Arabidopsis thaliana: one gene and its partners. The protein of the gene in region 4 binds, or shares a complex with, the protein of the main gene of each other region. Each region holds a gene or a part of one and is shown on either strand. Other genes may lie near its edges.

Region 1 (6,248 bases), on a different chromosome or scaffold from region 4:
ACGGTACTCTTTTCCTATCTAGGAGTTGAGACCATCAGTCACTGGTTTAAGAAGATGAATCGTGTAGGGAGAGGACTACCTATTTATTTTATCAAAAATAACCGTGTAGAAGATATACCTGCCATTGCAAAAAATGAAGGTGAAATGCCTTCCTTAGCAAGGACCAACTCAGACTTGGCCGCCTCAGAAGGGTCAGGCTATTTCACCTATTGAATCTTTAAGGTAAATTTTCTACGAGACTACTCTCTCTGGTGCTCGAGCTTTTACCGTGGTGTTTGCAGCCTATCTTATGGGTTTTGAGTGTCTAAAGTGATTTTCTTGATGAGCTTCTTCTCCTCACAGGGACCGGCACAAGATTTACTTGAAGCAGATTTATATTGCCATTGTATGATGCATCCCTACTTAAGGAGTTTCGTGTAAACTGGTCTCACCTATGTTATCTCTATCATTTAAAGTCCAAAAAGAATGAAAAATGTTGTCAATGATGTTTTACATGTTTTATATCAATACTCAGTACATGTTTCATCAAAAATAACAACTTCAAATCTAGTCACTTGAATAAGTACGAACACAAAATTGCTCGATTCTAGTTGTTAGGAGATATCGTCGTCATCATGTTTAGTTGATTATGATGATAAGTAAAACATATGACAACAAAGTTTTGCTAAATATAAAAAGTGAACAAACTCATGAAGTTGGATATCTGTAAATTATTTTTCATAAAAAATAAGTATTTTCAGGACACAACAAAACAGGACAAAGATAAGAAACTTATGAAAATCTACTCCTTTTACTAGGGTTTTAAACCAAAGCATCATCAGAAGAGGAGGCAGCCAAAAAGCCTTCAATAAAGACAGAATGATCCTTGAATCAAACATGATGAAATTGAAACCAATGAGCAGAAAAATCTCTCGTTTAAAGATTAGTCCATGTACCAAACGTGATGAAACCAAAGGAATGACTATTGCAGATGGCGATAAGTGTTTATCCAAGTGCCCACCTCAAACAAAGCAGAGACGTTCTACATACTCTAAACTATTCTACACCGTAAGACAAGTTTCTTCGAAGCCTGCCTGAAAGGTATTAAATACCTGCCAGAGTAGCAAGTGCAACTCCTCGGCCATTTTAAGTTCAAGAAAAGCAAGACCAGCAATCATCAGAGCCGATGAAGTTTTCAAACATAAGAGCATCTAGATGAGAAGCAGAGTAGATGTGAACTAACATAAAGATCCCAAAGCAGGCCGATCAAAATAACCAAGAAGCCAGAAGCAGTTAAGCAATGAAGCAGAAGTAGTGGTAAACAATTATGAAGATCCCAAAGTAGGCAGATCAAAATAACGAAGAAGCGAGAAGCAGATAAGCAATGAAGCAGAAGTTGTGGTAAACTACTATGAAGATCCCATAGCAGGCCGACCAAATTAACCAAGAAGCCAAAAGCAGATAAGCAATGAAGCAGTAGAAACCTGAAGAAACCTCGAGATGATAGAACAAAAAACAAAGAAAATGCATAGGTTTTTAGCAGAGCTTTTGTTTATGTCTTTTAAGAACATGGGTAGATATTTAAAAGTACTTTACCTAACGGCAGATACAACTATGGCTTCATAATCCAAACGCAATAAGAAGCTTTCCAGCAATTCAAAAGTAGCAAGCATATCCAATCCACCACACAGCTAAAACATATTCTCTTAGTGAAATTCACAGATACTAATTTCCTCTCCTCTTGACGTCACAAGCAAATAGTTGTCTCCTGATCCCATAATTTGCTATCTAGACAAGTAACACTCAGCTCCGGCTTCTGCGCACATCTTTCAGACCATTTCTGCATAAACAAATACAAAAACTTATCAGCCACATGGACTCTGTTTTTTAACACAACGTCTAACAAAAAAGTCTTTGGGACGATAATGCCACTAGTTCAGTTTCAATTTCTTATATTGATTGAGATACAGTAGACTCAAGAGCAAGGGGAGTTTTACCCATTAGCATATGGCACCTCGTCACGTGCTCTATAAGGTGGTGGTGACCTACTGTAGTTGCGACCACGAGGAGAAGGACTACGACGTCTTGGAGGAGGAGGAGATCTAGCACGAGGGCTGTAACTTCTGTGAAACCAAAAGACAAGGTAATAAATCAATGAGGTAGACCAATTTCTTTTAGTTGCAAATCGTCAATCAGAAAGAATAGGGACAATAACCTTCGTCCTCCATAGGTAGGACTCTTTCTGTATCTAGGAGGACTGCGACTACGGCTGCGGCTACGACGCCTACCACCAGAACCACCACGAGAACGACATTCACGTGCAAAGTGACCAGACTCACCACACTCATAGCACTTCAAATCAGAACCACCACGTCCACGACCACCATCACCTCCTCCACGACCACCACCACGACCTCCACCACCACCACGGTTATGAGACTGCTCTACCCTCCATCCATTCTTGCCTACCATAACAATATAGATCATATATATATCAAACTCATAACAACTCATAACAACTCATAAAACCAGACCAGTAGAATAGAAGACCAACGAATACCATCTACTTCACGGATGGCGTCACGGGCATCTCTTGAATCTTCAAAATCAAGAAAAGCGTAACCAGGAGGTCTTCTAGCAACCCAGACACTGCACAGACACCAAAAGAACAATGAGGATAAATGCAAATTCACACACTTTACATCAACTAAAAACCAAAAAGGAGTCAATTTATGTACCTCCTGATCACACCAAAGGAACGAAACTCATCCTCGAGTTCACGTTCAGTAACTCGCGGATCCAAATTACCAACATACACACGCGACATCCTCAAGTTACCTATCAACAAAAGGCTTCAATTCAAAAACTTTGAAAGCGATGAATTCAAAAAGATGAAATCTATAGATCGAAACTACGAATGAATCTGGAGTAAAGAAGTGACAACGGAGATCGGGATTTACCTGAAGAAACGGCTTTGGCTCTTTCTCTTGCTCGTCTGTGAGAAATTAGGGTTATCGATTCGAAATTGAAGATGAAAGTTATTTTTTGTGGGTCAACTTTAAATGTCCTTCAAAAGTTATTCCTTGATTTGGGCTTAAAATGGGCCGCATGCGATATGGTACAGTAACAATAATGCCTCATATTCATGCAATTACTGATTATAAAATTAAAATGTCAGATGTTAAATAATAATAATTCAAAATTAAAAAAAAGCTCTCAGCATATAAAAGGAATTCAAAAAAAAAATGAGTATCACTCTTAAGTATTTATACGATTTTCAAAAAAAGTTGATAAAACTTACCGAAAATACAAAAAAAAAAGAAATTGAAATCTACATAAATCCCCAAAAACTACAACACAACACAAGGAGAAAACACTAAGAAAACACAAGCGAAAACTTCACAAGTAGAGATCCTGAGAAAAACACTGTTTCTAAACCCCAAATTGAAATCTCGTCGTAAATTCAAATTTTAATTAAAAAATATAAAGAAAGCTCTTTTCTATGTCCACTGAATATTTTATGTAAATGAAGAAAGCTCTTTTTATGCTCATACTTTTATGTATATACTAACCCATACATCTCAGATGATGAGGATGAGAGAGGAAAATAAAACTTAAGAGGGAGACTATTTGACCCAAAAAAAAAAAAAAAAAAAAAGAGAGAGACTATTACCTCTAGTTTTTGAACTAAGTGAAGAAAACTATTTCGTTCAAATTTTTATTTATAATAATAATTCACTCATTAAGCATCACAAATTAGACAATAGATGCATCAGCCTATTTGTAGGCCTAACCAATCCTCTACTTTATTCATCGGAATCGATCACTAGATATATAGTCGATAGGCAAACAAAGATATAACCATAAAAACCAATTTTGACACTATTATTTATTTGCGTAATGCTAGTAGGTGTGTACAAATGAACATAATTATGACCATGACAACGGCATGGTAACCACTCATGCCTCGAAGTTCACCTTCTGCTACCAACATATTTCCATCACATCATCCTAGCATTATTAAAGAGGCTAAGATACAACCTTTTAGCTCTTCTAATGCTAATAATCCTAGCATCATCCTAGCATTATTAACTGAGTGCATCTTTAGCTCTTCTAATGCTTTTTCTAGAGAAGAAATGGTTTGAATCACCCTTATTTTACTAATAACATATTTGGGTTTAAGATGAGTTTCTAACTTAAAACCAATTGGCAATGAAACTAATCATTTATAAGTATATTACTTGATAATTTTTCTAATTTTCGAGTGTAACTTTCTCTCATTAACAACTAACCATTCGATTATTTTAAGAACTTTGGTTTTGATACGGTTCAGTTTGGTCAGTTATTAAAATTATTGGGTTTTTTTGCCCATGCCTATATCTCCCAAAATCACAATATTCAAATAAAAACTTTTACCACTTGAACCATGGTTCTAGTTTAGAATGGTTTGTTTGGAAAAGACAATAGAGGCTAAATCGTAATTTTGTGCTTTATCACTTATGAGTTTCACTTTTAAATCAGTCACTTAACAAAAACCGGACGTGACAATATATTATGTCCAGATATTAATTTGGGATTAGCCTATAACATCCAATCATTCCCAAGAGCAATGATATAATTTTGTAGTTTTTTATTTACTATTTAGTGCGCACCTTTCTTGAACCAAGACTCCATTCAGTGACAGGATTAGATAAGTATGTGTGTATTATTGAAATGTCGTCGAGAGTCCACTTGAAGTTTGAACTATGACGACAAGAATTATTCCTTTTCTCTTCTTTCTATTCAGATGGAGAGAAGCTCACCTCAAGATTTTTAAAACGGCACTCAATTACGACTTATTTTGAGAAATAATTAATAAAATTTATAAATTATTACGTGCTCTATTTTATAATTTTTCTCTTTTTTATAGGTTTTAAGACATGAAACACTGCTTCTATGTTTTTTTTTTGGTAATCAACACTGCTTCTATGTTTGGTGAAGACATCTTGCAAATGACATTACATAAATCATAGAAATTAGTTTCGATGTTATTCTAATTAAATCCTAAAATATGGACAAAAAAGAGTGATTCTATTGTTCAAAAAGAAAAAGAAGAGTGATTCTAAAATTATAAGCTAAATATCGATTTTAGAATGTACAAGTTGTTCCTACAAATTGCTAAATATTCTTTTAAGAGTGTCCCATTCATATAAAATGTAAGATTTTTGTTAATAAACTAATAACCAGTGGATAAGGGATTTTGTCTTTTCGAACAAAAACGAATGGTGAGCACTAAGAAAAGAGCGAAGTGACTCTATATTCATTCCACCATATTCCCCAAGAATACAATTGGTCAAGAACTTCACAATCACAAATTCACGATCGCTATGTCATCCTTTTAATATTGCTATCATCCCTCTAATTTACTTTCCATTTTTTAAGATCATGAAATTTGAAATGTCACATATACATCCGTTGTAACTTTTTTCTAGTCAGAAAAAAAAACGACTCGTGTTTACCAATTTGGAACAGAATCACACATTTAGAAGGTAAATTTTGGATCGAAAAAACTTTGCATTTTGTTGAAACTCCCATGCAACTTCACAGTTCCAACAAATATCTTTAGAGATTAATATATAGCATTAGAAAACCAACTAAATTTTGCGAAATTACACATCTAAAATTCGCTTGAGAGACTATTTACTTACCAAAAATCATAGAGATTAACGATATTATTTGTGTATTCACATTATAGGAGATTGAGAGATAATGTTATTAACGTTATTAAACTATTAAATTAACAAAAACGTTTTTGTTCAGCGAACGGGAAGGAAGAGGGAAATAGTTTACGTTACCACTAGTTTATGTTGAAACAGTTTTGGCCGAAAAATAGGCCATCATTACCACTATAGGCCATTCCGAAATAGTTTACGTTGTGAAAGTAATATCGTGCCTTATTTAGTACAAAGTTGCCCACTAAACTTACGAAATCGAATATTCCATAGTTACAAAGGTTAAAAAACATATAAAATCATTTACAACCAAGTCCCAAAGTTTTTGTGCTAGAGAAATATTTATTATTTAGGCTTATTTGGTGGTAGATAACCAAAATTAGGTTTATTTGGTAGATAGCCAGAATTTTGAGGTTTACTTGCAAAATATGATAAATTATAAATAATGAGATGTTAATTTCGCGGATTTTTCTTACAAATAACTTAATAATATAAATATTTTTATTTATTTAAGTGTTAAATAATACAATAATTTTTGTTTTGTTTTTCCGCCTAGTA
Region 2 (7,623 bases), about 15 Mb from region 4:
TACCCATCCAAGATTTGTAGGCCAACAATATGTGTGACCCACTTGGACATCAAGATGAGCCCATCCATCACAAGCACTACGAATTGGTGATAGTTGTGTCCACGGTATAGCTTTCGGCTCACCTGGTTAAGAAAAAAGAACTAATCATTAGATGCATCTAAACAAAATCTATTACAATTTGATGATCACATTATTTTTACCTGTAGTTCCAGATGAGAAGAGAATGTTAATCACAGACTCTACAGGTAGATAAATCGGACGATAGTAGTTCTCTCCACTGCAAGCAAAATTGGAGCATGTCTTATCTACACTCTCTGAGTGATTGCAAGTGTAGAGATGTAAACAATTTACCTAGAATGGGGTTTGGCGTTGGAAAGAAAATCCATCCATGATACATCCTGTTCTCTTAACTGAACATGCAATTCAGTACCTGAAGCCGGGAGGACAATGACCTTAGATGGAGCAGCTTCAACCACTCGACTACAGGAAAAAAAAAGAGACAAGTTTAGATATAATTATTATGTTGTTCATTCATTGAGTTGCAAAATCAGCCACAGAAAGATCAATTTTGTCACCTGTATAAAGGAAACCTTCGACCTCCTCTGAGTATATAATCCTGAAAACGCAATAAGAGATATTTCACATGGTACGGGATAGATACAAGGCGAAAAGATGTGAGTCAGGGTGTGTCACAAACCTGAGTGAATATGCCTTTTGCCTTCGAAATTTTCAACCTTGTTGCTATTTCTTTAGCTGCAAAGCTGTCTGCGATGGAGACAACAATGCAACCAGCTAATATGATTGCGAGATATATAATCACTGCATCAACTGTCATTGGCATATCGATTGCAATTGTGTCACCCTTTTCAAAACTTCCACTTATCGCATTTGCCACCAACCTTTTCAAGTAAATGTATCAAGACCACCACTGGAAGCTTAATAATGAGATCACACAACAGAATGACTGATAAAGAGTTTCATCTTACATACATTACTTGCTCCCGAAGCTCTTTAATGGTCATTCTATTGACTGGAGAGTCATCAAACCCTTCATTACGCCATACAACAGCCACACTATCATCCTCCTTTTTGGGATGGCTTGAAGGCATCAGACAACACTCAGCGATATTAAGAACTGCATCAGGGAGCCAAGTCCCTTCAGGTTTTGATTTGTTAAGGATACACCTCGGAGGAGTGTGAAACACAAGTGAAAGCTCATCGATAACAAATGACCAATAAACCTGAAAATGATGTTTACATTAGACCAAACCAGAGCTGCGACAAAGATTCTTTTGCTCGACAACATTCAACGTTGATGCTTACTTCAGGGTGTTCAACTGAGAATCTCCGGAAAAGTTCAAAACTTTCAAGAGGGTTCTTGTATGAAGGACCAAGAAGTCTTGGTCCGTGATATTCCATCAGCTTCCCCAGATTGGTGGACTTTGACTGAGATCTAAACACACACAAAGAAGAAATTGAACAGACAATCAGCTGTATTTTACAGATAAATATCAGAATTTCGAACAAGTTCATGAAACGCACAGAGAAGGAAACCAATAGAGAGGAGGGCCATGAACAGAGGAGTCCCAGTTTGAATAGACAGAGTAGTAGAGAAGCTGATGCAGAGGATGTGGATGCCATGGCTTAAGCACACTCTCATCTACCAAAGCTTTCCATTGATCTCTTGGATCAGTCTCTATAGCCTTTGTAATCACATCGCTCACCAATTTGTCAAATTCCTTGGCGTCTTCCAAAGTCAACCCAGCTTTGACATAATCATCGCAACTCAATTCGCCTATGCTCTTCCACATCTCTTTCTATCTCTCTATACAAGTTGTTGCCTTTTTTATAGTTTAAAGTTTAAAGCTTGTCAATGGTGGTAGACTGGTAGGTAGATTCGGTGGACGAGAATGCTCCAAATGGCGATTTGTTTTGCTTTTAAAACAGAAAAGGTCTCATCTTTATGAAGAAAACCCAACTCCTCAGTTAACATCGGACCATACTCTTTGGCTCTGCTGAGTTCTTGATTCATCAAAGAAACCAATTCTATTCAGAATAGCAATTAACGTTAGTATTACCAAAACGATGACATGTTCAAAACGACGGCGAAGCCATCCGTCTTCCGCCCAGTGCAACATATCCAAAACGCGGCTTTTGATGTGATTAATGGATCTCTTGAAAATGCTTTGGTTGATACGACGGATAACAAAAACTAGAGCTGATATATTCGCAAGTAATCCAAAAAGCTTCCTCCATGAGCTCCTTGTGTGGTTGACCAATGTTGCAACTATCATAATAACCTCAGATTATATCTTAAAGAACTTATAATAACAGTACCATGTTCCCCACATGTTCCATAGATCAAAACATAAAAACCCAAAACATAAAGTTCTCGGCTTTTCAGTATCATCTTAACTTCGTCTTAGGATAAGGGTACAAGACACAACCATAATCTAGAGAAGACTAGCAAAAGAGTGACGAATCAATCACTGGCTTGGTGAACGGTCTTCGTCATACTGGCCCCCATGCGGGCTTTGGCTCCTGCTTCTGGCGGGTTCAGGAGTGTAGCTTCTTCTGCTTCTCCTCGGACTCCTGCTTCTTCTAGGGCTACGGCTTATGCTTCTTCTTGGGCTAACGCTCCTATTTCTTTTTGGGCTTGGGCTCCTGCTTCTTCTTGGGCTACGGCTTATGCTTCTTCTAGGGCTGGGGCTTAAGCTGCGGCTCTTACCTCTGACTGGAGTTAAACTGCGACCCCTTGAGCCATCAGAGGCAGGTGAGCGCGAGTATGACCTCCTCCCATCATATCGCTCTTCCCTGGGCGAGATAGATCTGTGACAATAGACAGTGAGCATACAAGCGTGGAGAAGTTTGTAATTGAGCTTAGACAGAAACATATAGAAACCTTGGGTGATGTCTTCTAGGGGGAGGAGAATAATAGTCACCGCTCCGTGACCGAGATCTACCACGTCGAGGGGGAGGAGAACGAGAGCGAGAGTAGTAACGAGGTGGAGTACGTCTTCTATCCCGAAATCTGCTGCTCCAACGAACCAAAAAAAGATGTTAAATATTGAGTTTTTGATATTTGACAATAACCAAAATAGTTCAAAAAGAGAAAGATTCATGCACCTTCCTCCACCACGCTCCCTTGCTCTCATTTCAGTCGGTTTCTTTCTGTTCTCTTCTGCAAACACGACAGTCAACTCACGGCCAAGAAGAAGATAACCATCCATGTGATGTTTTGCATCAGCAGCATCAGCAGGGTCCATAAATTGAACGAACCCAAACCCTCGCGGATCTCTGCATTCAAAATGTAGAACAAAAAGATCTCAGACTAGAAACCAAACATACAAAATGGCGAGGAAGATGTACCACTTTATAACAATCCTGTTGAAGGACAACTGGCGATATGATCCCCTGCAACCGAAGATATCAGTAAACATGAAAAAAGCAAGCACTTGCCTGCTAGCCTTGCAAGTGTCAGTACAAAGATGACTTCTTGAAGACTTGATTCATCTTCACATAGAATACAAACTCAACTTCACTTCAATTCTTCACTACCATATAGAACATCTTCATAAGAACTCTAATTACTTCTTTGATGTCTTCAATTCTTTAGATTCACTGCTAAACCTCAACAACTTCAATTAACTCACTCATAGTGTGTTCAGACATGGAACATATCATCATGTATCCTTTTCCTTAAGCGACTAAAAACTATGAGGTCTCACCAGGTACTAAATTCTAAACGACTAATCCACCTAACGACACCGAAAACTAGTGGTTTAAGACCACAAGTATGCTCACTGTCTATTGTCATGTCACAGAAAATTACTATCTGAAAAATATGGAGCCTAAATTTAATTTATGAAATCAGTTTTTAAGAAGATTCTCATAAGGCCCTAGTATCCATGAGAAGACACAAAGAGATGACCGAAAGAAAAAGGAAAGGCAGATAAACGTAGTAAACAAATCAAGAAAGAAGATGTGAAAATAGGGATATTTTCTAATCAGAACATAAGTAAAAATCAAGTGTTGGTTGTCCTATTTACAAAACATGCTCACCCGGTATAATAATCCCTTGGCAGGTAAATGTCCTTGACAGGACCAAACTGCTCAAACGACTTCCTGAGATCTTCTTGCCTGAAGAAAAGGACAAGGAGTAAGAAGAGAATTACAATTTGCTAAAAGCCAAGAAATGAAGATACATTGACGTCAACTTTTTGAAAACCTTTACAGTAAAGATAAGAGAACATCATGCCAAAATATGCTAAGAGGTGTCAAGTCTTCTTGCTTAAGAGGTGTGCAAACAATAACATCATCCACAATGGCTGAAGAAAATAATAGAGAAGTCAAAAGTATGTACCTGCAATCATGGCGTAGATTGCGAACCAAAAGACTGGTCGGGAGGTCCCTGCTACGACCTCCATATCGGCCTCTAGGGCTTGGGCTTCGACCCCTCCTCCCATAACCCCTAGGTGGTGACGGAGTGTAGCTCCTTCCCCTCATTGAGTCAAGCTTCAATCTCTCTATCAGTCAGTCAACACAAACTAGATTAGAAAATACACCAAAAGAGGTTGGATATTTAAGAGAGAAGAGACCACAAACACAAGAGCTATAACACCAGCGTCTAAGAGAACTTTAAAGAAGCAATCAATCTAGAAAGATCATATTTTCTAATTGAATAGTAAATTATATCAAAATAAGATCACATGCAATTCAGGTAGAGATCGAATCAGCTCAATTTCAAAAGATAGGAGCTAAGAAACGTTATATGTGAATAGGCACAAAAGATCACAACTTTCGTCAAACTTACTTAAGATGAACGATTCAATCCTTTATATCGATGTATAGACATAATAATTGCCTGATCTACAGTTTTTTCCGTCACGGGATCTTTCACCGGACTCAAAAAGTTGTACGGGCAACGAAGTTGTTTACAATTGAAGGAATCGAAGTCGGAAAAGCCAAGTTTATTCGACAGAGAAAGAAGAAGATACGGGTATATACGGTTGGGAAGAAGAGCAAAATATCAGGGATAAGACTTACCGGTGAACGAATCTCGGTGGTGAGGAACGACGGAGAAGTGATGCTGCAAGAATTGGAGAAGATTGATCAATGAACGACTTATTTATTAGGGTTTCTTTATATTATTTACGTTTTACATTTAACCCCCTCAAAATTATTTTAAAGTATTAAAATCCCCTTAAAGTTTTCTATTTGATAGATGCTCCATTCCAATTTCTGGTAATTAAATTATCTTCCTTTTTATTATCATTATACATTTATACTTAGTGAGATCAATTATCTAAGAGGAACTAAAAATGTAAAATTCAATAGAATTAAATAGCAAATTGGTGATTTTTCACCAATTGTTGGGTTCTGTTTGTACCTTTTATAATTATTTTGGTCAAAACATAAATCTTGAAACCTTTAGGGAGGGAAATAAAATAATAAATTGTTAAAAGGATACTTCTAGAAGGTTTATCTTATAATGTCTCTCTCTCTCTCTCTCTCTCTCTCTCTCTCTAACATAACAAAGAATTCGTGTTTCAGTTCAATAGATTCTCGTCTCTTTTCGACTTACGACATCAACAGACCGAAGTATACGTATTCGATACGATCTGCGTTCGCGAATTCACGTTTCTGGATTGATTAAGAAGAAGAATTCAAGTCAAGCTGTTGGTATCTACAATGGAAGAACAGTTCATACTTAGGGTTCCACCGTCTGTTTCAGAACGAATTGATCGGCTTTTAAGCGAGGATGCTTCTACTTCCGACGAAATCCCTTTGGATTTGTTTTTTTCAGGTACCAATTTTTAAAGGGTTTCTCTCTTTTTTGGCACATTACATCTGGGTTAAAGTTTCATCCTTTTTCTTAAATTTATGTCCTTTAGTCGTCAATCAATGAAATTAGTGTCTGGATCGTTTCGGGGATTGCTCCTTGTGTCACGTGATGAGTTCTTGAATGTTGGTTTGCCCAAAAGACATTCTTGAATCTGATTAAGGATCAAAGCTTGTGATTTGTGTCTCCTGGATCAGCTTAATGTTGTGAATTGTCTGTTTTGTCAAAGAAGCCAAAAGACATTCTTGTTGCATCATTATAGTTTGTCTAGAAATCCATTTGCATATTGTCTCTGGAGCAAACTTGATACGTAATGTTTGTGTGAACTGAATTTGCAGAGGATGGGAGAAACGGGACGTTTATGATTGGAAACGACGAGTTCCCGGCTTCTCTGCTTGATCTCCCTGCAGTTGTTGAGTCTTTTAAAACTTATGATGATTGTGCATTAGTCAAAACTGCTGATATTGGGCAGGTAAAATCAAGTTACTTGATTCATCTTTTACTTATATGCGTTAACTTCTGTAATTTTGGACTAAAACTCAATATGGATGCTTTGATTTGGCACACAGATGATCATGGTTAGGGAGCCTGGTGATCCTGCGCCTAATACAGTTGAATACAGACATGGTCTAACTCCTCCAATGAAGGATGCTCGAAAGAGGAGATTTCGTCGAGAGCCTGACCTTAATGTAATTTTCATTTGTTGTTATCTATCCATCAACATTGTTTCACTAATACTTGTGATTATGATTGAAAGTCTGTAGTGAAACGTATCTTTTGGAACTCCAAAGTTCTTTCTATTAAGTTAACATATTGATTTGCCAAAATGTTGCAGCCGGAGCTTGTACAGCGGGTTGAGAGAGACTTGTTGAATATATTGAGTGGCGGAACGGTAGAAAATGTAAGCTTTTCTTTCTATTTTCGACACATGATGTGTCTATATTTGCTCCTTGGATTTAGTAACTTCATTTATTTGAACTTTTTTTGGTGTAGGTACATGAGCAAGAGGAACCAGCTACGAACGAGAATGCTAGTAATGCAAGTAAGAAAGTATCTTCTTCTTCACCTACACCTGTTGAAAAGCCTGAAGCTCCTGAGACAGGCACTAGTAATCCAACAGGAGTTGAACCGGAGAGAAGTGAATCAGAAGATTCTGATGATTCAATGTGAGTTTATTATTATATAAAGAGATTTTTCTTACGAAAGCTTAGAGTTTGCGCAAGTCCTGTCTTAGAAAATCATGGATAATTATGTCCCCATGATTTGATGATGTCTTGTTCGACCTTTTTCAATGGAAAAGTTGTTTTGCGTTCAAACTACACCAAAGATTCTGTTTATTCTAGTTCAATTTCGGTTATTTCTTGAAGACAGTTTCAGGAATGAACCAAAGATTGATAGTAAAAGAAAAACCTTAGACTTAAAGAACAAGAACCAAGACATTGTTGATGCTAAACCTATCAAAAGCTGGAATCTAATCCAAACACCAACCATCGCCTTCATTAAACTTTAAGGTTTTTCTTCCGGGTCATTTTCTACAATGCCAAGAATAAGAAAAGAAAATTGACACTCTGCCTAGAAATTGAGATTCTAATTATCGGTCCCTCCATTTTCTATCCTGAATAGTGAATACGTGCAACCATGTCTACCTTTCATTACATACACAATTATGAATTATGTCATTTTTCAAACAAAACAACCCGAAGCTAAAACAAATGTGTAGAGCCTCGTAAGTAGTTGCCGTCACGATCTTCCTCTTCATCTTCTTCGTGTTCTTTCTATAA
Region 3 (8,479 bases), on a different chromosome or scaffold from region 4:
CTATTAAGCAGCAGCAGCCTCTTTTGCAGAAGATGGAAAAGCATCGGTTTTTGAATACAGCCCGAGTTCCTCCTCGAGTTTCTTCCACGCATTCAAGAAACTCGGAGGGAATTTCTTCTTCACCGTTCTAATCAACCCTTTAGCGTCATCTCTTTTCTTGTTCTCCACCAATCCCACAACCAAATGCTTCAAAGTGTTGAAATCTGGAATCTTGTGCATATACACACTCTTCTTGAAGATCGCATAGCCTTGCTCGTACAATCGGCTATAACAAAGATGAAATATCAATGTCCTAAAAGTAGCTGCGTTGGGAGCACAGTTGTTACCTTCAAGTCCTTCATACACTTTCTTAGCTTCGTCCAACATTCCTCTCTCACAATACGCAGTCATAAGATAGTTATAGCTAATCGTATCAGGTTTCAATCCCATACTACTCATTTCTTCAATCAACTCCTTAACTCTTTCAGGGCTTTCCTTTTGAGCACTCATTATACGAACATTATACGCTGCATTATCCAATTCACAGCCTTTCTTCACCATCTCATTCCACAAGTTATCAGCTACCTCGAGCTCACCTTTCTTATACAATGAACTCAAAATGGTGGTGAAAGCAATGGTAGTAACTTCCATGCCTTTACCTTGCATCTGTCTCATAATCTCAATGGCTTTTTCAGGGGTACCAGAGTCACAGTATGACTTAATCAATATACCGTAAGAGATTTTGTCAGGGATGATCTTATTGTACCTCTGAGGAATTTCGTCGAACAGTTGGGGGACTTTATCGAAATTCTTGGAATGGAGACAAGCGTTGAGCAAGGCGTTGAAGGAAACAGCTGATCTGGGTGTGCCGTATTGATCCATCTGCTCGAAGGTTCTCATGGCGTGATTAAACATAGAGGCTTGGCCGTAAGATCTGATAAGCGTAGAGTAGAAAGGTTCTTCTTTGATTTTGGGATCATTTTTGTGGGATTCAATTAGGGTTTCGATGTCTGAGAAACGGCGACACTTGGCGAGGCGACGAACAGTGAGCTCTTGGGCGTAGCGAGATGAAACAGGAGAGGCTGAGTGATCGGAGACATTGGCGTAGATCTTAAGAGCTTTGTCGGGATCGTGTTCTTTCCGGAGAGTGGACTTAGCTTTGGAGACAGAGATTTTGCCTGAAGAGGGAGCGGTGGTCGTACCGTCAGCGGCGGCTGAGGCAAATCGGCGAACAAGGCGGAGAGAAATACGAGAAGAAGCCATTTTGCAGAAATGGGTATTGTGGAGAGTGGTGGCGAGAAAAGGAGACGCCTTTAGGGTTTTAGTGGCTTAACAGAGATTTTTGGGTTTTACAAGTTTGCTTCTTTTTCTTTCTTTTTTCTTCTATCAGAAGAGAACCAAACTACTTGAATATTTCAATAGAGAGAGTACTCAACTTCTTGTGTTGATTTAGAACATATGTCACATTTACGAGAGACGAATGATGTTTTACGAGGGACTCATGATGTTATTCTGTGAATAATTTTTGAGATAAATATTTAAGAAATAGACCAAAGATATGAGATAAAAACGTTATAATAAGCAACGTGTCGATAATCTCATACTCTTACAATCACGCAAAAGGGTCTTGAAACTGAAGCAAAGTACTTAACTTTTAAGTAATAGAAAGCAAACAAAGAAGTGATCAGGCTCCATAATCACCCTGTTCAAACTTGTCTTCAGGGTAATACACTGCAACGACTTCATTTCCTCCAAATTTCCTACCATTCATCCCGAATCTTGCCCTAGTCGAGCCATCTGTATCGGCATACTTCAAAAACACCTGCACATTAAATATATCAGACAGTCAGATTACGACTAAATAGAAATATACAAGAAGTAGAGAGAAAGAGAGAGAGATAAGTTTACCTTGCCAAGGCCTGCCACTGGCTCACCATTGGGGCTTGGACGCGGAATCACAACATTGGTCAAAGCACCTGCATTTTAAGAGTTAAAGAACAAAACATTTCGAATACAAGACAAGAAAACACAGACAAAAACAAGTCAGTTTTTTCTTTTAAGAAATAGTGGCCATTGGTGATAAATAGATTAGGAGGTTTATGCAGTCTCCTGTCTGTGTATGTTAGGGCTGATTCTTTATAGCAAAAGGCTGTAAAACAGCACAACCAAGAAAACAGAGAGACAGATCAATATGCTTTTAATCTTATATTTCAAAATAGACCATATTGCGCAATTAAGAGGTCTCTTACCAAACTTTCCGCCTTCCTGTCTCATGTCTTCCATTATATCTCCATACTCCTCATCATCTCTAAGCTCATCCTCAGTAACAACTTGAGTCAGACACACCACAGTGGTTGCCACTGCACCAGGCTGTAACATAACCCTCTGCAAAAGATAAAACCATCAATCAGTCTTTTAATCTTATAAATGGAAATATTCAAGTTAGGTCTCAACACGTTTTGCAAGCTCATTTTGTTTTCTTCCAATATTATTAAGAAGAAAAAAAATTACCTGAAAAGCTATTTGCTGCTGTGCATGCAATAATACGTTCTCTTGTTCAGGCTTTTGTAGCATTGTTCCCTGGTTGGCACGTCTCACTGTAAGAGTCTTATCTCCCATCTTGATACCATTTAGGGCAGCGCACGCGATATCTGTAACAGAAAGATCTTGGTACACACAAAAGGCATATCCTTTAGAGTTCCCTGTTTCTCGATCTTTTACAAGATCAAAGCCCTTGAGGCCTCCAAAGGACTCCAACAACTCCCTCACTTGTGATTCCGTGAAGTAATATGGAAGTCCACCAACAAAAATACGATCTGGTCCCTCAAGCCCACCAGAAGCACCTGGAGTCAGACCAACAGCAGCTAAGTTTAGATGGGGACTGGGCTGGCTTGGACCAAGAGTCGCAGCTAGAGATGGGTTATAGTCACTAGGTCTCCTCACCTTCACCGGAGCTCCCTGGAAAAGAAAAAAAGAAAAAGAAAGATAAGCATTCAGTTGGGTAACCTATATACCAAAGAAATGCCAGTACTAAAACTCAACCAAATATTTGGTAGTGCGGTAAACATTAAAACATACCTCAAATATAATCCCATCCAAAGACATAGCGTTACTTGCCTCTTCAACAGATCGCATCTCCACAAAAGCAAACTTCTTCTCGTGGTTTATGTAGACATTAACAACTGCATCACCTGCGAGTAAGAAAAAAGATTTATAAAAAAAGATTAATCCAAGTATCATAATAGACACTCTAGCATCTGCACCAGGATTATGTACCTGGACCAGCAGTGTTTCCACCAACAGCAGCCATAACTTGACTAAAAAATGTAGCCACAGACTGCAAATACAAAATAATAAATCAATGTTAGTATCATTATTTGCTGAAACATATTTCAGTGGGAGAAAATGAAAAAAGAAAGTGGATAATAACCTGTTCATTTGCCGTAGGGGAAAGCCCACCGACATAGACTCTGCGAGCATGTCTAGTTGCCTGAAGACACAAAGTAAATAAGGATTAAATTAGAACAGAGAAATACATAGTATCTTGCGTATATCCATGATAAATAAAATCTAACCTGCTGTGTCATAGCCTGAATTGGCATCATAGAGAGTCCCCCAAATGACTGTAGGACATAGACGACTTAGTTCAAGAAAGACATCAATTAAGAAAATATTAAAAGGGAAAGACCACAGACCTGTCCAGTCGGCAATGGAAACATGTTGGGAAACATTCCAGCCCCAGGAAGAGTTGGTGGAGCGGGAGGAACTTGGCCTACAAAAGAAAAACAGGTTAATACATAAGAAAATTACATATGAGAAAACCTAGTTTACCATCCCTGGAAATGTATTGGTGACATCAAGAGGTTTAAGTCTGCATGGAAAATTTTTGCAAGACTAACAAAACCAGTGATATGTACTGAGGATGAGCAATACCCATACGCAGTAATTCTTCCTTGTATATAAGAGCTAACCAGCCCACACCCAGTGTTGCCTTACCAAAACAGAAAAGCAAACAAGAGACACAAAGACCACCAAACAACCAAAAGCTCTCAGTTCTAGCGTTATGTCCCAAGTAAAAAAAGAAAGAAAACAGCCTATGTTTTTGTAGTTATTCAGGAGAAACAGATTTTATCAATCCCAGTACGTGTATTAGGTATGAATTCTACATTATGCTAATGAGAAGGTGCTAAATTAAAGAGATATACCTGTAACAGCAGCACCAGCAGCTAACATTGCAGAGGCTGGAGGTGCCATATCGAATCCACTGACTCGCTGCTTACTGCAACAACATATATTGAGTGAGGTTAGAAACTTTCTTAGATTGAAGCAATTACTTCATAGAAGAGTAAGTAATCCAATGAGAAAAAAATGCTACCTTTTCGATGGAGATCGTGACCTTGTTCTGCGCTCAGATCTATCCTTTGAACGAGATCGAGATCGACGACTGCGTCTTCCTCCTCTATCATCTCTCCGCCTAGAAGAATAAAAAATAAGCCAAATCAGTACCTTCCATAAAATCAAAAAGGATTCAATCTAAATTGAAAATGTATAATTCAATTCAAGAACAGTCTACCTATCATGGTCACGATCACGGCTTCGACGGTAATCATCATCATCCCTACCACCACGTTCTCTTCTTTCACCACGCTCCCTGCTATGATCCCTGTGACGACTACTTCTGTGATGACGCTCACGATGATCTCTGTCTTTGTCTCTACTCCTCTCCTTGCTTTTCTCTCCATCTCTATCCCTGCTTCGGCGAGAGACTTCAGAGTCTCTTTCTCTGTCCTTATCACGACCCTTCTCTCTTTCTCTATCTTTACTTCTTGATGTCTCTCTTTCATGGTCACGCGATTCTCTCTGCACATGTAAACACACCCAAAACCTCATCAATTACAGTTTAAGAATCAATGAAACAGAAGCAGCTTTAAAACTAATCATCTCATAATTCGATTCTCAATTCAATCCAATTGCTAGGAAATATAGATTCGAAACTCCAACTATAAGCTAGGAGATTGAAGATAATCAGGGGGGAAATTACCTTGGGTTTCGAGTCCAATTGATCCTCGATTTCGCCGTCGCGGCCACCATTCTCTTCGTCGTAAATCGCGTCAGCAACCGTACCGTTTCCCTCGTGATCTTCGAATTCAGACATCTTTTCGCCGGAATCAACGCTCTCTATCTCTTTCTCACCGGAGATAAATTTAGAATCTGTTTCAGCCGTCGAGATTCGAAGAAAGGGGTGGATGCAGAAACCAAACTATTTTAGGGCAATTACGGATTATTCTATTTTTTTATAGCCAACACGGGACCTCCTGTGAGGGTATTTTTGTAAATGTCATATAAAAACAGGCCGGTCCAAATCTGATAAGGCCCATTATTCAGCGCATCCGGTCCAATAGTTGGCCCAATTCGTGTTTGGGATAAATCTACTTTTTGAGAGTTTTATGAATTTGCCTTTTCAAGATATGGCCCAATCTGTGTTTGAGATAAATTTGCCTTTTATTCCAATATCTCTTGCAACAACAAGAGAACAGAGCATGGGAAGTTGATTGCATTATCTACGACTCCTCCGTTATCACCATTCAAAACTTTAATATGCCGAAGCTATAGCAAGAGGGTTACAAATACATTATACAATTGTAAACCAAATGACATAAGTTAGCAAGTACGACTACTACTACAAGTGTATAATAAACCACAGAGTTATCAATAACAAGAAGTAACGTCGTCACTCAACAGTCTCTCGGAAATATTTACTTATTTCTCATTTACCATCTACAAAGATTTAAACAAAACAAAACATTATACAAACACAATACAACTTTAAACATGGCAACAACAAAAACAATGCAAAAGTACATTAACAAATAAACAAGACTATGGAAAAAAAAAGTTACAAGAGAGGTCAGAACCAAAGTTCTAACCACTAACAACAAACCAAACACACTCTTGACGTACGTTGGCCTTCTCTTTTACTCCTCCGGCTTAACTCTCCTCTTCACCTTCCATTTCCCATTCTTTCTCCATCGGTAGTTGCCGTTCCCTAAGTTCTTCTTCTTGTGGTGGTTGTTGAGGTGGCCACCGCTTCTTCTCTTCTTCTTCTTCACGTTTCCTCCTCTCTTCCTCTTCTCTCTTCGCCTCTTCTTCTTCTTTCTTCCTTTCATCATGTCTCCTCTTCCTCTCATCATCTATTTTCTTCCTCTCTATCTCCACCTTAAGCTTCTCTATCTCTCCTTCCGCACAAGAATGACATTCCAAGATAACAGCTTCCTTCTGAGCTCCCAACAATCCATCAATCGTCACACTACTCACATTAAGCGATGCAGCCAATACTTGCCGGTCAAGCATCCGCAAAGCCGAGTCCTCCCCGGCTAAGAACTGCGGCTCGTTATTCTTAGCTGAAGTAGTAAACCCAACGAACACTAACGAGTCATTGTTGAAAGACATTTGAGCCATTGGATGTAACCGTGGAACTGCGAAAATATCTCCTTCCTCTACTTTAAACCTCACGTTCTTACACTCTGATGATGTGTTTGATGATATCGAAGACCTAAGAACCCTAACCATTCCTGCTCCTTTCAATACAATCGAAATCTCGCAAGCCCATGGATTCCAGTGCGGTCCCATCATCGATCCTTGAGTGAGATTCACCATGGAAACTCCAACCATTGAGCCTTTTAAAACTTTCAGATCCTTCCTGTTAATCGTTATAGTACGACCGTAGGGGCTCTCGAAATCCGGTTCAGATTCGAAAACATTGAATGTCTTCGCTTTCTTCACCTTCTCCTTCTTCTCTTTCTTCTCTTTCTTCTTCTTGTTATCCACCAAGTCTGCACTTCCAGCAAAGAGCTTTAGTAATCGCGGTTGGAGCTGCCAAGTGTTGGCCACACCTGGTGTGCAAAGCGTCTCACTCACGATCAATGGTGGCTTCGTACGGTTCCTCATCAGCTCTATAATCCCCTCAGGAACCTAATTAAAACCATTGAATTTAATATATCACTTAATACAACCCAAAATATCCTCTACTAGAGTAAGTTGGGAAGTAAGATATACACAATTCCTATCTTGCTTCCCAAGTAAGATATAGACAATTCGTAACTTATTCATCGGCAGATTAAGACATACCCCAAAAGCTGACTGGAGAATTGTCTCATCAAAACCAAACATTAGATCTGTGATACTCGAATAGGCACCAAAGCAAGGATCCTGCATCCATGGAATACAGATACAATAAGAAGAAGAAAAAGATGTCAAGAAAGTGAAAAAAGAAAGAATCATATCAAACTTATACATGTAAACACTCATCGTTGTTGGAGAAGATTGCGTAAAGCTTAAGTTTGGTTCCAAGGAAGATATCCACCGGTTTGCTCTGTAAGTAGAAAACCGAACCGGGACGTAGCCTGTAAACGTCTCCTAGTCTGATCTCGGTACTCTTCGCTTCCTCGTCAACCCAATTCAGAATCCCACTTCCTATACAAATCACAATCCAATTTTGACCTAAACCGAAACTGATCTGTAAACCAAACCGAAGAAATTTAAACAGTTTATTATGTACCAGAGTCAACGAAGAAGACCATGTCGGAATGAAGAAGAAGAGGGAGCAAAATTGTGTTTGGCTCCAACGTTATGGAATGTATCTTGTAAGGTCCCATTCCACCGCATCCATTGCCGATTTGAACGGTTGAGATCTGTCCAAACTTCGTCTCGAAGATTGGTTTCCATTGATCTTTCTTAATCAGAAGAGGAGACGAAAACCCGCAACATGAAGGCACAGCGACGTCGTATTCTTCAGACTCCTCCGACTTAGCCAACGACTCAGTGCAGAGGAACAAGAGAACGAGAAGAAGAACAGAGAGTGGCAATACCGCAAATCTAGTCATTGTGCTCTGTTTTTTTTTTTGTTATTCAATGCAAAGCGTATTAAATCGTAGTATCATATAAAGGAATGAGAGAAGAAACAGAGAGAGGTTGTAGAGTCGGACAATGACCACGTGGCTTAATGGTTTGGACACGTGTTTGCTTTACGCTGACAAGTGCATGGGTTCCTTTGTTACCAAAAACAAATTGCCGCTAAAATACAAAGCTCGAGTTTGAAAAATCTGGCTGATAAGTGATCATAACTGTTGATGATAACGTTGTGAAGGTATGAACAACAAAGATGCATAGTTTATATCGCGCGACAGTCGAGTTAAATGACACGGTTCCAAGTGATGGCAGTTCATAGTTTTCATCGATGCGATATTGAGATATGCATGCATATCGGTATTAGTGGATATGCTTATTTTCCAATACTATGTATTAGCATTATTAACATGTGTTTTGGAAATGAAAACTCGAGAATCTTTCACATTTCAATTTCATCTGGGCAGATAATGATCACGGACACGTACTGTACATCAAGGTTGAAAATTTGACAGGCCCAATTGTCCATAGTGGTTGGGCTAGTGTATGTTAGTATGTATGTATGAGTGCCTAACCAAACTGCACTTGTATGCCT
Region 4 (7,879 bases):
AGAACTGTTTTCTAAACTATGTTACCTACAGAAACATCTTCCCCATATGGGCACTTGCAGAGTGGTATGTATATTTATTTTCTTTGAGTGGTATGTACTGTGTGAAGTTGAGGAAAACTCTATTTTTCGTTTTAAATAAAAGTTTGTGCACTCTCATTAAGATGCATGGTTTGATGCAAAATTGTTGTTGTGCATCTTAGGAGCCCTTAAATTATAATTATTTATTTCTCTGAATGAAACAAAAAACCAATTTCTTGTGTATTTGGATCACCAGTCTTTGTATGGATTTCTTTCTCTTTTAACTAAAATAATAAGAAAAGGGTGAAGGAGCCAGCCATTCTTCAACAAGACTGAATATATTAGGGAATTACAACCAGCTAAAAGAACCAAGTCATTATCGTTGCATCTAATGAGGAGATCCACAAAAGAAGATTAAACATCCAAACACTACAAAAACCACAACTCTCATTTGGTCACTGGTAAACATTTTATCTGTTCTAAGAAAAGAGGCTGAGACAGATGATAACGATAAAGATGGAGAAAGAGAGCTACATCAAGACTCAAGTTTTTTTTTTTTTTTTTTTAATTTTTATCACCTTTAAGTTTTACGAGGTGGAGGTGGTGGTGGCGGTGAACTGCTGCTGCTGCTGTTACTGCTGCTTCTTTTTCCTCTCAGTGGCCTAAACATACCCAACAACAACCCATTTTCTTTTATTAGACTTCAACGCAAAAAATTTCTACACAACAATTCTATTTTTCTCTGTTTCATCACCAAACTCACCAAGAAAGTATAGGTCCCAGATGTTTATGCTATGTCTTTTATCAGGAATTGGGGTAACCCTTAACTTTACTATACATAACTTAACATTGGAACTTCTTCAATTAATGCATTCTACAGACTATAAAGTGTTTCCAGTTTAAGACGAGGATTAGTGTTAAGACAGAAAGTGTTTACCTCTTAGGACTGCGGCTCCTTGAAATCTTCCTAGGAATCTGTAAGGTTTAATAATGCACAAATGATAGAAAGTCAAGAGTCAAGACATATAACTCGCAAGGCATCAAAAATTTTATAGCTAAAAAGGGATCTGCAAGAAGCCCTTACCCTTCTGGGACTTGGTGAACTAGAGTAAGAAGATGACCTCCCACGTCTCCCAGCTGGACCTCGTCCCCTGCTTACAGTTAAAGACAAAATTAATTCATGAACAAACCCCAGACGGATCTATATAACTTAGTCATATTGGGTATCAACGTCTCTAGGAGCTGGTATGTCAGAAACCTAGGTAAAAGGATAAGACAATGTAGGATCTTGGGGTATACTCATGAATTATGAAAGACTTAAAAACTTGTTATGAATCAGTCTTAGCTATGCATCTGTAACAAAATAAAACCCACGAGAGAGACCCCAGAAAAAAGTTTAAATGAGTTCCAACATACTTGCGGGGTGAGATGGAACTTGAACGAGAGCGACCAGGCCTACGAATTGGGGATCGGCTACGCCTACGGATTGGAGATCTTCTGGGAGGACTGCGTAGTCTCCTTGGAGGTGGAGACCTGAAACACGCCGAATACAAAACATATATAAAACTGACACATTTTTCCCGGTCTAATTTACTGAGTAATATAGTCTATAAAGCTGTGATTCCTAAACTTCGATTACTAAGGGTGTAATTCAGGTACCAAATAGACATACCTTCGTCTTAGAGGAAGAGGAGACCTTCTTCGAACAGGACTGCCACGAATTCTTCTAGGGGAGCCCCTGCTGACAGATAAAAGGTGAGCTATCGAATCTGAAACACACCAGACAAAACAGATGGTGCCATAACTAACCTTGGAGGAGATCTATATCGTCTTGGAGGGGGAGAAGATGGAGAACGGCCTCTAGATGGTGATGCTGGCCTACGTCTAGGAGGTGTATCACCGCGACGGCGGATAGGAGAGCCCGGCCTCCGGCGATGGGGAGAATCAGGTGATCGCCTTCTAGGTGATAAGCCTCTCCTAGGTAGAGGTGATCGCCTTCTCGGAGAAAGCCCTGTTTTCCGTTGAGGAGATGCTAAGCACATATTGATGATACTAATTAACACAACATAAAGCATATACTACAACAATTATAAATAACCAAAATATAAGGATTTGACATACTCTCTCTTGGGCGCCTGGGACCACCATCTTTCTCAGCGTCAGCAGCAGCATTATCAGATTTTGGAGCATCTCTTTTTGGTGCAGCTGAGACAGGTTTAGGGGGTGAAGATACTTTCTGACGAGGTGGTAGTGTGAACGTTGCTTTAACAACCTTTCCATCAATTTGGGCCTGTGTTCAGTGAACAAAAAAAAAACATGCATAAATCTTCTCTGTCAATATGTCAAGTACAGTGCATTTCATAATTGGAAAGAGACATACACCATCCATGTAGAGCTGAGCTTTCTCAGCATCAGCTCTTGCCTTGAACTCAACATAACCATGTCCTCTTGGAAGATTAACCTGTTAATAATATTCAAAGGAATTATGAGCAGATTTCAACAAGTGATGCAAGTAAACAACAGAGAGTAAAGAGAATAGCAACTTACAGCTCGATCCATCGCAATTTCGACATGTATAACTTCACCAAAGTTGCCTAATAATAACATGAAACCAAGCCATGTTATAAGACTTAACATTTAGCCAACACAAGGAAAACAAAAGACCAGTGATGATCGTAATGCCGTATACACTACTGATGACATTAGCGGACATGTGTAGACAGTTATCATGTAGTAAGATTAGAAGAAGCAGAAGAAACAGAGAAAAGAGAAATCAACATACCAAAGATTTCTTTGAGATGGGCTTCATTCACATTCCTGCTAAGAGAATCAACATGGAGAACAAGAGATTCTTGAACAGCTTTCCTGAAAGCATAAAAGATTGTAAAGTCAGTAATGACGAAAGCATAAACACTAGAATATATTTATGTGAACGAGTCAGATATTACTTGGAAGGTGAAGATGCTCCTTTAGATGGTGGAGGAGGAGGAGAGCGACCTCGCCTAGCAGGTCCAGCAGGACTACACAAGAAGATACATCAGAACATCAATTCGAATTCGAGCTGAACGAACCAAGAAGAATGAAAGCGAAATTACACAAATCCAATTCGAACAATTGGTAAGTGATTGAAAGAAACCCTAACCTTTTTCCACGACGTGGAGGACTGCGACTCCCAGAACTGACGCTTCGCGAAGGAGATGAAGATGAAGAGAGCGATCTAGAACGGGAGCGTGAGCGGGAAATAGACCTGGAGGGGCTCGAACCCGAACGAGATCTGGAACTGGAACGAGATGACGAGCCAGACACGGAGGGGGAACGACGGCCACGACTTGGTTTCGCCATGGGCGAGAGATATCGAGAAAATCGCGAGAAACCTTGCTTCAAAACCCTAGCGGATAAAAAAGATTAGAGGAGAGAGACAGACAGACAGACTGTGACTTTTTTTTTCCAGTCTCCTTTTTTTTTCCGCGGACTGCAAATTAAACCGAAGATGATACGTGGCAGGTTTTTATTTGCTTGATAAATTGAGGGATTTATATGTTTTTTAAAGCATTTTATAAAGTATAAATACCATAATGAGCTCAATTTGTGTCCTTTCCCATTTTTCATATCAGATTTGAATGTGTCACTAATCAAAAGTTCTTCAAATCCTACAGGAAAATTCAAACAGAAAAGCTAGTAACTCCCATAAAAAATTCAACAACTTATAAAATGTTGTAATCGATTGTCTGTGGTCGTGTACACCATCCAATTAGGATCAATTAGATACCATTTTTCTATAGCTCTCTTGTTGTCCCATAATTTGTTGATATTGTTGTTGCCTTGGTACAAACTTAAGAGCAATCTCAAAATCAAAGTATCTTAGATTGAATCTAGTCATTGAATAACACCGAAACCATTAAGGTTTATTCATACATCTATATAGAAGTGTCAAATGGTCATCTGACCATGGGCTAAGCCCAGTCCACAACATTATGGACAGTCCATGGTCGGCCCGTAATGAAAACGGGCTATATGGTCTAAAGACCAATTTTGTCCATGGGTTTAATGGGCTAGCCCACACGGTTTATGGTTGGCCCATCAATTTTTTCAACACATAAATTTTTTTCTCTTCTCTCTCTTTCGGCAACGACGCTCTCTCTCCCGGCGACAAAGCTCTCTCTCGGCGACGACCAAGCTCGACCTCTCTCTCAACTCCTACTCCGGTTAGTTCTACTAGCTTGTGGGTTTGTCCAAAGTTCAATTGTGAATTTTGGATATGAGGAGAGCTAGCTAGCAAATGGGCACTTTTCAGATTTTGTTTATGTTTCGCCATTTCGAATTTCATTATGAATTGAAGCACATCAATATGTAGAGACCCTTTGTGTTGTAAGTTCATGCTTAATTATTCCAGAAGGCTAGTGATTTAGTCAAGTTCATGCTTTATTTGTTTATCACTGCTAAACGTGTGTATGTCTTTATTTGTTTCAGAAATATGGAATTGGATACTCAAAACTTGGTTGATGAAGACAACTTTAATCTTGAGGATCAAGAAATGGACCATGAAGATCCAGAAATGGATCAGATACTACCTCATGAAACTGCTTCTTCAGGGACAGCTGAGAGAGGTAAAAGTAGTGTAAGTAGATTTCGTGCTGCATGCTGGAAAAACTTCGATAGAGGACAGAAATATCCTAATGGGAAAACTGAGGTTACATGCAAATATTGTGAGCAGACTTATCACTTGAATCTGAGACGAAATGGTACTAATACCATGAATCGTCATATGAGATCTTGTGAGAAGACTCCTGGAAGTACACCTAGAATTAGCAGAAAGGTGGATATGATGGTCTTTAGAGAAATGATTGCAGTGGCTTTAGTTCAACATAATCTTCCATATTCGTTTGTCGAATATGAAAGAATTAGAGAAGCCTTTACATATGCTAACCCTTATATAGAATTTTGGAGCAGAAATACTGCAGCTTCTGATGTCTACAAGATTTATGAAAGAGAGAAAATTAAGCTTAAGGAAAAGTTAGCTATAATCCCGGGTAGAATATGCTTAACAACAGATTTGTGGAGAGCTTTAACTGTTGAAAGTTATATTTGCTTAACAGCTCATTATGTAGATGTTGATGGTGTTCTGAAAACGAAGATCTTATCTTTCTGTGCTTTCCCGCCTCCACATTCTGGAGTAGCTATAGCAATGAAGCTTAGTGAGCTGTTGAAAGATTGGGGAATTGAGAAGAAAGTTTTTACTTTAACTGTAGATAATGCTTCTGCAAATGATACTATGCAAAGCATTTTAAAGCATAATGCTTCTGAAAATGCATTCTTATACTTAGTGAGAATTTTGTTTTGTTGGTCATATTTCAGGGGTTTTACTCTTACTTTTCTGAAAGAAATGGAACTGGAAAATCACCATTAGATATGTACTTGGAAGAGCCTGTGTTAGATATGGTCTCTTTTAGAGATATGGATGTTATTGCATATTGGAAAAACAATGTCTCGCGTTTTAAAGAATTGTCATCGATGGCATGTGATATCTTAAGCATTCCGATCACTACCGTGGCATCGGAATCAGCTTTTAGTATAGGTAGTCGTGTGCTTAACAAATATAGAAGCTGCCTTTTACCTACTAATGTGCAAGCCCTCCTATGTACTAGAAACTGGTTTCGTGGATTTCAAGAAGTTGGTAATATTCACATCTTGAACTCGTTTATAATAGTAAACTTATATGGCTTTTGGACTGCAGCTTTTAGATTAATAGCTCGGTTTTTCTTATTGAAGAAACTGATGAGATCCAAGGTCAAGAGGACACAAACACCACCCTTGCATGAACGTTTCAAGACTGGGAAGAAACAAGTACATGGTTGTTCTCTTAAGCTCTGAGCCTATGGTTATGTGTTTATTATTCTCAGTACATGGCTGATTTGATGATGTATGTCTTTGACAGATTGTTATAGGTTGTGATGGTATCCGGTCTAAGGTTGCAACTTGGATGACAGATTTTGGTTTGGAATTGATTCTGGATTTTGTCTCTTACTTATAATCATTTGTGATTGATTACATTGTGGAAATGTTGTTTAAGCTTATTGTTTTACCTAAGCTTATTGAAGATGGCCACTTCTGGTTTCCAATTTCTAGATGTTGGAGTAGTATTGAAATGGGTTTCTCTGTTAAATCATTCTCCATGTAGCCATTGTAGGCTTTTTTCTTTACTTGTAGGTGCATATAGAGAGTCTTAGATGCGTGTTTGAGTTGTCACGGTTGATTACAAGACTGGGAAGAACAGGTACATGCATGTTTGATTTCATGTTGATGTTATGGTTTTATAAATAGAGCTTTTGACGAGATTGTGTGAAAATGCATTGTATATAAACATCATTGTATGGGCTGGCCATGGGCTGACCATTGGACAATGGTCTTTAATGGTCTTGGACAAATTTTTAGACCATTGTCCATTAAAGACCAACCAATAAAACCCATGAAAAAAATGGTCCAAGTGGACATGACCAATGGGCTTTGGACAGCCCAATTGACACTTCTACATCTATATAAACTAATCTGATTTATCATCATAAAACACTTCCAACGCCATTTGGTCCTATTCTTGCAAAACCTTTTACAATCATGAATCATGGTGTTTGAAAATTGTCCATCGTTTTTGCAAGATACAAAGAAGAGGATTCAGATAACATGAACAATATTATTAAAACTAGGCCACAAGGTTGGGGTACAATGTCTTAAACAAATAGTAAAGCCAGAAACTTTAAAGAAGAGAATCAAACCTACTAATTAAGAAAGCAACATACTAATTAAGCTTCAGTGAGATGGAAAAGCCTTCCTACAAATCAGTAGATCATAAAGTCAAAAGCTAATTCTAACTCATTGTCCAGAATGTTGATGGTTCCTGATCCTGCTTGAACGTCTCACAGGTGTTATCATCTCTTTCTCTTCGTGACCACTTCTCTTTTGTATCTTCTCATATGTTGTGAAACTTCCATATGAAACAGAACCTATGGAGTACTCTGATGCAGAGGAAGCCATGGATTCACCGCTATCATTACTCTTCTTGCCTCCTCCTCCGCTTTGATGTTCTTTAAGATCATCTTTCTTGTTGCTGCAGCTGTGTAATGGTTTGTTCTTACTGAAGCTGAAACTCATCTCAGAAGGGAATGATGATACCTCTCTTTTTCTGTCATCACCAACTTCTTCTTCTTCTTCCTTGAAATTCAATGAAGAAAGCCTTTCTCTGATCAGATTCTCTACTGGCACATGCTCGACAACTTTAGTTGCAGAGATTGCTGTTGGTTCGCCATCTTCATGTTGCAGCATCACAGGTTTTGTCTTCTTCTTGGCTAATAGGAAACCAGCTGCTACTGCTGCAAGTATAACCATCATAGTCGAAAACAAGACTAACACTTTCTTCTGGCCACTCAACAAAATGTCCTCCGAACCTGCATCATTAACAACTTCACCAAACCCACTCTCTTCTTCTTCTACTTCATTACCGTCATGTTCAACATCTGTAGCTTCTTCTGAAACACTGAGGCTACCTCCAGCAATTTCCCCAACACCTTCTTCTTCTTGTACAGTTTCAACATTGGCTACTCCGGTTTGTTCTTGCTGGTTACTACTGATTGCAGCAGACTGCACATCGTCAAGCAGTTGTGCGTCGGATTCAGCTTCTTCCATGTTATTCTGGTCATTTTCTTCATATTCTTCCTGCCCTTCAACAACATCAGTTTCTTGGCCACCATGTCCTTCTTCAGAAAGAGATTCTGAATACCTTTCACCTCCGTTCACCTCTGTATCTGTAGCTATCTTGATCTCAGCCTGCTCATCACATTCATCAACAATTTCTAAGTTTACCTTTCCT

The links.
Region 1: SR45 (region 4) and RSZ22a share a complex: the UniProt entries of both Arabidopsis thaliana proteins name them as parts of the spliceosome.
Region 2: SR45 (region 4) and SCL33 share a complex: the UniProt entries of both Arabidopsis thaliana proteins name them as parts of the spliceosome.
Region 3: SR45 (region 4) and ATU2AF65A share a complex: the UniProt entries of both Arabidopsis thaliana proteins name them as parts of the spliceosome.

Annotation. Positions count from the first base shown.
Region 1 is NC_003071.7:10,446,395-10,452,642, reverse strand, and holds RSZ22a (RNA recognition motif and CCHC-type zinc finger domains containing protein), read right to left. Parts: upstream 3,013-6,248; 5' UTR 2,940-3,012; intron 2,818-2,939; 5' UTR 2,807-2,817; coding exon 2,718-2,806; intron 2,629-2,717; coding exon 2,540-2,628; intron 2,445-2,539; coding exon 2,195-2,444; intron 2,103-2,194; coding exon 1,977-2,102; intron 1,820-1,976; coding exon 1,783-1,819; 3' UTR 1,459-1,782; downstream 1-1,458. Other genes in the region: AT2G24600 (Ankyrin repeat family protein), read left to right, coding at 1-213. UniProt on the Arabidopsis thaliana protein: Probably involved in intron recognition and spliceosome assembly.
Region 2 is NC_003070.9:20,627,559-20,635,181, reverse strand, and holds SCL33 (SC35-like splicing factor 33), read right to left. Parts: upstream 5,113-7,623; 5' UTR 5,047-5,112; exon of another isoform or gene 4,814-5,046; intron 4,527-4,813; 5' UTR 4,507-4,526; coding exon 4,364-4,506; intron 4,141-4,363; coding exon 4,063-4,140; exon of another isoform or gene 3,496-4,062; coding exon 3,460-3,495; exon of another isoform or gene 3,298-3,459; coding exon 3,127-3,297; intron 3,035-3,126; coding exon of another isoform or gene 3,032-3,034; coding exon 2,903-3,031; intron 2,830-2,902; coding exon 2,487-2,829; 3' UTR 2,209-2,486; downstream 1-2,208. Other genes in the region: AAE18 (acyl-activating enzyme 18), read right to left, coding at 1-122, 201-277, 352-480, 576-616, 698-899, 991-1,241, 1,324-1,453, 1,543-1,811; TAF7 (TBP-associated factor 7), read left to right, coding at 5,692-5,806, 6,181-6,314, 6,412-6,531, 6,678-7,028. UniProt on the Arabidopsis thaliana protein: Involved in intron recognition and spliceosome assembly. Binds to multiple 5'-GAAG-3' repeats found in its third intron, suggesting autoregulation of alternative splicing. May be necessary for accurate splicing of the 3' region of introns.
Region 3 is NC_003075.7:17,292,476-17,300,954, forward strand, and holds ATU2AF65A (U2 snRNP auxilliary factor, large subunit, splicing factor), read right to left. Parts: upstream 5,254-8,479; 5' UTR 5,135-5,253; coding exon 5,021-5,134; intron 4,840-5,020; coding exon 4,553-4,839; intron 4,454-4,552; coding exon 4,355-4,453; intron 4,259-4,354; coding exon 4,185-4,258; intron 3,752-4,184; coding exon 3,675-3,751; intron 3,603-3,674; coding exon 3,555-3,602; intron 3,470-3,554; coding exon 3,410-3,469; intron 3,317-3,409; coding exon 3,256-3,316; intron 3,171-3,255; coding exon 3,058-3,170; intron 2,938-3,057; coding exon 2,491-2,937; intron 2,365-2,490; coding exon 2,229-2,364; coding exon of another isoform or gene 1,956-2,228; coding exon 1,888-1,955; intron 1,802-1,887; coding exon 1,664-1,801; 3' UTR 1,472-1,663; downstream 1-1,471. Other genes in the region: AT4G36680 (Tetratricopeptide repeat (TPR)-like superfamily protein), read right to left, coding at 4-1,242; AT4G36700 (RmlC-like cupins superfamily protein), read right to left, coding at 5,968-6,951, 7,108-7,188, 7,274-7,452, 7,538-7,862. UniProt on the Arabidopsis thaliana protein: Necessary for the splicing of pre-mRNA.
Region 4 is NC_003070.9:5,675,327-5,683,205, forward strand, and holds SR45 (arginine/serine-rich 45), read right to left. Parts: upstream 3,527-7,879; 5' UTR 3,361-3,526; coding exon 3,161-3,360; intron 3,039-3,160; coding exon 2,967-3,038; intron 2,884-2,966; coding exon 2,801-2,883; intron 2,613-2,800; coding exon 2,566-2,612; intron 2,480-2,565; coding exon 2,399-2,479; intron 2,309-2,398; coding exon 2,140-2,308; intron 2,051-2,139; coding exon 1,828-2,050; intron 1,757-1,827; coding exon 1,691-1,756; intron 1,552-1,690; coding exon 1,402-1,551; intron 1,170-1,401; coding exon 1,103-1,169; intron 994-1,102; coding exon 956-993; coding exon of another isoform or gene 952-955; exon of another isoform or gene 861-951; coding exon of another isoform or gene 851-860; exon of another isoform or gene 681-850; coding exon 599-680; 3' UTR 522-598; downstream 1-521. Other genes in the region: AT1G16630 (uncharacterized protein), read right to left, coding at 6,886-7,879. UniProt on the Arabidopsis thaliana protein: Involved in 5' and 3' splicing site selection of introns, and may bridge the 5' and 3' components of the spliceosome. Isoform 1 is required during flower petal development and isoform 2 is involved in root growth.